Danio rerio: one gene and its partner. The protein of the gene in region 1 purifies or fractionates together with the protein of each later gene. This does not show direct contact. Links are inferred from orthologs where the notes say so. Each region holds a gene or a part of one and is shown on either strand. Other genes may lie near its edges.

What was found. The genes of interacting proteins can lie anywhere in the genome.
Region 2: the proteins of snrpe (region 1) and prkrip1 purify together in Homo sapiens (co-immunoprecipitation; 3 studies listed by BioGRID and IntAct, counting the BioPlex papers as one, with this or other methods). This does not show direct contact. The link is inferred for Danio rerio from reciprocal best matches to the Homo sapiens genes SNRPE and PRKRIP1.

Annotation. Positions count from the first base shown.
Region 1 is NC_133186.1:40,122,884-40,127,043, reverse strand, and holds the start of snrpe (small nuclear ribonucleoprotein E), read right to left. Parts: upstream 2,861-4,160; 5' UTR 2,739-2,860; coding exon 2,685-2,738; intron 2,396-2,684; coding exon 2,369-2,395; intron 1,007-2,368; coding exon 944-1,006; intron 1-943. UniProt on the Homo sapiens protein: Plays a role in pre-mRNA splicing as a core component of the spliceosomal U1, U2, U4 and U5 small nuclear ribonucleoproteins (snRNPs), the building blocks of the spliceosome.
Region 2 is NC_133180.1:65,105,410-65,109,071, reverse strand, and holds part of prkrip1 (PRKR-interacting protein 1 homolog), read right to left. Parts: intron 950-3,662; coding exon 864-949; intron 775-863; coding exon 710-774; intron 1-709.

The DNA.
Region 1 (4,160 bases):
ATGCGTTCCCTGTTCTCGTGGTCTCCCGAGTTTGTTCTTCCAAGGAAAACTGGCAAGACTGGTCTCCACAAGAACGCAAGTCCAATCTCTGCATTCTTGGAATTGAGAAACAGCCATTGAGTTGCTGCCATGTGATTGGCAGATTAGAAATTTGCCTTAACGAGCAGTTGGACAGGTGTACCTAATAAAGTGGCTTGTGAGTGTATATTGTACTGATAAAAGGAGTAAATATTATACACCGATGATGGCATATTTATAAAAATAATAATTATAATTCCCAAGTGCTGATTAGCAGAGAGATTGTTCCAGCACATTTTTAAACAAGTATTAATTACTAATTTCTTTTGTTTTTGCTATATTATTTTTAAAAGATACAAGCATTCAGCTTAAGGGTAATTAGCATTCATAAGCAATGATTATAAAGCATTCGTAATCAGGGAATCATTGGAGAACAGAGGTTTGTTCTGAAGCCAATCAAAAATGTAAATATTTCTTAAGGGGGCTAATAATATTAACTTTTGAGATTATTTTTAAAAGGTCAAAATTGCTTTACTTCCTTCCAAAGTAAAATAAATGTACATCTTCCAGAGGAAAAAAACATACATGACATATCGAGAAGATTTCCCAGTTTTCTGTTCAACAAAAAGAACTCACATTTTCACAGGAGGGCTAATAATATCGTCTTCTGCTATATTAAATAAATACTCATCACTTTATAATGAATTGCAGTTGAATATTGATTTATTGATTCAATGCATTGATTTAATTAAAGAATCCCAGTAGGGCTGGGCAATAAATTGAAGGCGATTTTTATGCGCATTTTGTCAGTTGTGAATTAGGATTTAGCTAACCTGAAAAGGTAGGATTGAGTTTTCATTTCAATTGATCAAGCAGCCCAGATTCCCAGCTCTAGTGTTATTGGTAAATCGGAGACTTTACTCACGATGATGCAACCCTCTATCCGCATGTTGACCTGTTCGTACAGCCACACCGAGATTCGGGAACGCTGCAAAGAAGCAGGAAAATTATTACCAACTGCTCATTTAGATTTTGTGCCAAGTGGTTTAAACAAAACAATTTTTAAAAAACATTGTATAAAAAAAAAAAAAAAAAAAAAAAAAAAAAATGCTGGATTGTCGGAACCCAAAATTGGGTCAAATATGGACAAAACCTTTTATCTAATGAAATTTAAATGTCACTTTTTAACCCAATGTTTGGGCGTGTCGATATTTGACCCTAAAATTATATTAAATTATATATATTAGATAATAGTTTAATTTCGAGTTTAATCATAATGGAGTAAACGGTTGGGTGAGTAAATAGTGAGTACATTTTAATCTTTAAGTAAACTGTCCCTATAAGGCTTGTGACTGTGTGAACATTTCAATATTTCAAATTTCAAAACATCCGGCCACAAGAAATGTTTTGTAACTCTAATAAAGATTAAATAATATACAGTGAAGACTCTGCAGTGTTGATTATCTGAAAACTATAATTATATTTTATCTTTACTATATTTTATTTATCTATGCTTGTAATTGATCTGTTATGTATTATTCAAGATTCACTCCTCTACAAAATTCCCCCAATCAATCCAAATATACCTGTTGAATCAAATAGGTAAAGTTGGTTTTATATTTACACATTCATTCATTTAGCACTGCAGTCTCTTTATTGTTTACCATGTTACCTTAAATATTCAGAATTAGCATGCACGTATGAGTTCTAAACAACATTAACACTATCTAATTCACTGTGAACAATGTACTTTGATAGTCATTTGCTGCTCATATGATTTCCCCATTTACAATTTGCAAAGAATACTTTTCTGTAATTATATTATTAAGGGGAAAGTCTGAATATCAGAATATAAAACCAACTTTACCTCTATTTAAATCACCAGGTGAAATAGTTTTCACATCGCAATATAGATCACAGAAATACAAAATATTGTAAAGTCAGATCTTTTCAATATCGCGCTAAATCAAGTGTACAGATATTTTTTCAACTAATTTCTCTGACTTTTCCAAAATTCTGTGGATTTCCCTGTTTTTACAAAACTTTTCCAGGCCTGCAAAATGCTGTGTCAAAATTCCATGACTTTTTCAGGTTTTCCATGACCTGTATTTTATTGAACGTGAAATTCAGAATGTGTGAATATAATTTAACAAACTTTACCTCAATGCTTACAATATTTTCATTTCTGAGAGAACTACCACTTTTGATATTTATCAAGACATCTATAAATCAGCAGGTATAACAGAATAAAGATTTTACTCTACAAAAATACAATAAACACATGAAAAAATAGACATATGTGGACAGATAAAAGCTTGTGTATGTCGCAGATTGAAAAACAAGTACTTACATTCTGTAGATACCTGAAAATAAGGTTCTGAAAGACTCGTTAAGGAAACAAATGACATATAAACACGATTCATAACCTTTTTCATTCATTTGTAACGCAGGGACACTGTTATAATCAGCTCAAACATTGCTAAAAGTATTTAGTATTCAAAATGTTAGCTAACACAACTTATATTACCTACAATAATATGCTAAACTATATTATATTATACAATAATATGTCAAAGTATATTACATTATACATATAACAGCACACATCCAACACATATCGGTACAATGGCGAGAGCTCAATGCAGCTATTTGGCCTGAAAGGATACGATGGGCTGCACCATGACCTTTTGAACCTTCTGTCCTTGTCCTCTGTACGCCATTCTTCTCAATAATATCCGGATGTTATTATAAAAAGTGACAAAATGTGATATTAAGTGTAATAGTTATTGGCGCGGCAACGAAAATCTCACGTTGGCTGCTGTTGTTTCAATGGCGGCGCAAATCCGGAAACAGAATGACGCAGATAAAATGGCGCGCTGATTCTATGTAATGCCTCCTGTGGCTTGGGGAGACACTACAGAAAGGCAGATTCACACAATTTTATATAATGCTTTATTTAAACTTTATATAATGCATACTACTATTAAAAGTTGTTAAGACGTTATGTGCAATAATAATACACCGGTTTCAAAGCAAAAAAAAAAAAAAAAACAGAAATGTGCGCACATCTAAAAATTTCAAAAGCAGGTGCTCGATCAGAAATAAACAAAGTAGCAAAAGATCAAAAGATAATCGGCATACTCCCACTTTAGCTCTCAAAAAGTCCTTTGATGACAAAAACTTTCGACCATGGTCTTTATACCGGTTTCAATCAGCATTTACCCTTAGAGTTTCATTTAAACGCTTTATTACATTAAAAAGTACAGCTATTCCATTTAATTTCTTATTAAATATACCAAGGCTCCGCTGATATTGAAATGTAATGCTATTGACGCATTAATAGATCATAGATATATGTAATAGATCACATTTGAAGCGTAGTTTTCGACGTAGTACACAAGGTGTGTGTGACGTACCGCGCAGGCTTTTGCACGGTCAGTGTGTCTGTTGTTGTTTAAAGAGACGCTCGGCGGTGAGTGATTTAGCCATTTTTATTACATTTATGATTATATTTCTGTTTATCTTTAAGAGTACACAATTCTAGTGAAAAACTGTTCATTTTAATACGACTTAACTGTATGTAAGCTGAGCTTTTGTAACGTAATGTGGCATGGCTATTAGCTAGCCTAGCTTATCTTGTTGTCAACATTGGCAATTATATTACTTAGCTCGATCTACATTTACTTAAGGGAGAAGAAAATAAGGTTAAAAATATTGAATTGACTAATTGTATATGTATATGTTGTTTTAGTTTCGCGTTAAACTCTATAGTTTATTGTTTAGTAGTTGTTTCTCAATAGCTCAGCACAATCCATTATCTGTAGTGACTCTTAAATATTTGTATTATTTAAAATATTGGAATATATTTGTTACCAACTTAGTATATTTCTCTCTTGTTTCGTTTGTGTATTTGATATATTATGTATTTATAATCTGTATAAATAATATATATTTTTTTAAATTGTCATTGAAAATCTGATGTTTTCTTTGTTTATTTTGTAAGTTATACTTTGTCCATCAAGAGGACATTTTCTGCGTACTCTGTGTACGTCTGTGTACTCACTTCAGCAAGTTCTGACACAATAAAAATAATTAAAAAAACAAACATGCTAGGAATTGCATACACAAACAAAAAACATATG
Region 2 (3,662 bases), on another chromosome or scaffold:
CTGTTAGGACATTAAGGTTGATAAACAGTACTGCTACTCATGTAATATTGCTCATATAGACATCAGTAATCTAAATAATGTCCTTATATAAAATTAAACAATATTATGATTGAGGGGTTTACGCGAGTTTGTAGAATATTCATTCTTTGTTTCCGTTTAATGTTTAGTTCACTGTACTCAAATGGCCTCCACAGTCACCTGAGCTCAATCCAATAGAGCACCTTTGGGATGTGGTGAAACGGGAGATTTGCATCATGGATGTGCAGCCAACAAATCTGCAGCAACTGTGTGATGCCGTCATGGACCAATATGGACAAAAATCTCACAAATATTACCAGTACTTTGTTGAATCTATGCCAAGAAGGATTACAGCAGTTCTGAAGGCAAAAGGGGGTCAAACTCAGTACTAGTAAGGTGTATCTATTAAAGTGGCCAGTGAGTGTAGTAGGGTTTATTTACTATCAGCCCATGGGTCTCAGTGATATTTAGTTTCCTGCACTTCATACAAAATGTTAGAGCACCCCTAATTCAAACACACCGAGTGTTAAACACCATTATAAAACATTATAAAAGATGTGTTTGCTAACATGAGTGTTAATCCACTTATATATAAGTAAATGCTTTTCTGCTTTTGGGTAGACATAAACAAACAAATGATTTAACTCTAAACTGAATATGAACAAGGGGCTGTGGCTGAATTGTCTCTCACCTTCTTCTTTCTGGCTCTCCATCTTGGCTTTCTTGGCCATCAACTTCTTTTGTTTCAACTTTTCTCTAAATAACACAAAAGAACAACTGAGATTAAGAAACGCAACAGATTCTCCAGAAAGACTAGAATATCTGAAGTCAACCAAGAATCAAACCTCTTCTTTCTGCGTTTTGCTGTTCTGTCCTCAGCAGCCTTTTGGTTTTCGATCAGCTTCTCTTTATATTCCTCATCAAGCTTTTGCTGCAAGAGTGAAACAATTAAATGAATCAATTTTGGTTGCGCACAGTTTCAAAGAACAGCATTTGACTTTGATCCTAGAAAACAGACTCCAACAGCTTAGAACAAGACATATAAATGTGGCAAAAAAAAGCAGTGTTGGCAAATATTATTTTTAATGAAGACATACGCATATACAAATGACTTGACTTGAGTAACGATGCTGGAAATTACATGAATATGTATTATACATATTAACATTCAAATCTACTTTATAGGTGAACATAATAACATTTACAGTGGAAGTCAGAATTATTAGCCCCGTTTATTTTTTCCCCAATTTCTGTTTAATGGAGAAAAGATTTTTTTTTACATATCCAAACCTAATAGTTTTAATAAACTCATCTCTAATAACTGACCTATTTTGTCTTTGCCATGATGAAAGAAAATAATATTTGACTAGATATATAAGACACTTCTATACAGCTTAAAGTGACATTTAAAGGCTTAACTAGGTTAATTAGGCTAACTAGGTAAGGGTAATTAGGCAAGTTATTGTGTATCAATGGTTTGTTCTGTTGATTATTGAAAAAAAAGCTTAAAGGGACTAATTATATTGACCTTAAAATGTTTTTTATTTAATTCAAAACTGCTTTTATCCTAGCTGAAATAAAACAAATAAGTCTTTCTCCAGAAGAAAAAAAATATTATCAGACATACTGTGAAAGTTTCCTTGCTCTGTTAAACATCATTTGGTAAATATTGAAAAAAGAGAGAGAAAAAAAGGGGCTTATAATTCTGACTTCAACTTCATGTAACAAATACAATATTCCACAGTTTTACTGTTTTTGTTGTATTTTTAAATCTAATTACTAAATAAACGCAGCTGTGGTAAACAGAAGAGACTTTTCAAACAGTTGAAATGGTTATGTTTGCCAACCTTTGACTGGTATTGCAAACATATTAGATTAACATTATTCAAGCATTACATGTACAATATTTATACTATTTAGCACAAAAACTAACTATTTAGCATATATAGACGACATGTCCAAAAACATGCTCTATAGGTGAATTGCATAAACTAAATTGGCCTTAGTGGCGAGGCAGTGGCGCAGTAGGTAGTGCTGTCGCCCCACAGCAAGAAGGTCGCTGGTTCGAACCTCGGCTCAGTTGGCATTTCTGTGTGGAGTTTGCATGTTATCGCTGACTTTGTGTGGGTTTCCTCCGAGTGCTCCGGTTTCACCCACAGTCCAAAGACATGCGGTACAGGTGAATGGGGTAGGCTAAATTGTCCGTAGTGTATGAGTGTGTGTGTCTAGATGTTTTCCCAGAGATGGGTTGTGGCTGGAAGGACATCCGCTGCGTAAAAACTTGCTGGATAAGTTGGCGGTTCATTCCGCTGTGGCGACCCCGGATTGATAAAGGGACTAAGCCGTCAAGAAAATAAATGAATGAAATTGGCCTTTGGCTTAGTGTATAAGAATGTGTCAATGTAAGAGTGTGTGTGTGTGTGTGTGTGTGTGTGTGTGTGTGTGTGTTTCCCAGTATTGGGTTGTGGCTGAAAGGTCGTCCACTGTGTAAAACATAAGCCGTAATAGTTGCTGGTTCATTCCGCTGTGGCGACCCCTGATAGATAAGAGACTAAGCTGAAGGAAAATTTATGAAAATAATAATAATAATAATAATAATAATAATAACAACAACAGTAATAATAATCATACTAATAATATTGTAAACAGCAAACATATTAGAATGATTTAAGAAGGATCATGTGACAGATGCTGGAGTAACAAAGCTGAAATATCTGCTTCATGTCACAGGAATAAATTACATTAAAAATATTTAGAATAATATAATAATTTATAACTATGGTATTATCTACACTGTAAAACCCAAAAAGTTAAGAAAACTCAAACTATTCGAGGAAATTGATTGCTACAAACCCCTTGAGTTAAAACAAACAAACAAAAAAAAACAATCTATACGAGTACTGTGAACTTACTCCATTTAAGATGAAATAATGAGCTATTTAATTAACTCAATACCTTCAACACAGTTCAAAACTTTTCAAATGAGTAGAATTAACTTTGTCAATTTTGAGTGAACTACACTCATTTCATAAAGTTGACTGTTGGGTTTGACAGTGTAGGTATGTTCAACTAAGTATTGTGGTGAGCATAAAAACAAAAGAGAAATGTGGGAAAAGTCCCAAACGTATGGACAACAGCATACATTTAAATCAAATAGCACTTGGATGAGTATTGTAACAGTATATTTAATTTTGAAATTATTGTATGTGAGCTTGATTCACTGCTGCTCTGACACACCACACCCAAATTCTGTTATTCAAGTTGCTTGAAATAACGTGTAGAACCGCATTCCACACCTGCTCTTGGGATTATTATTGCTACATTTATTTAAAATTACCCCACAAAAAAGTAAAAGATTAAAAAGATTTTACAAAAATTTAATGTATTAAATATCTATTTTAAATCTGTATATATATTTTGAAAGATGCATTCTTTGGGTCAATTCAATACTAAAACTCACTGATTAATTCATTTTCTTTTCGGCTTAGTCCCTTTATTAATCTGGGGTCGCTACAGTGGAATGAACTACCGACTTATTCAGCATATGTTTTACACAGCATATGCCCAAAATTAAAATTAATTTGTTGTCCCCTCAAAAAAAAAAAAAACTGAAGTTGTTTCAGCTAAGTTGAGTCTCCTCACAT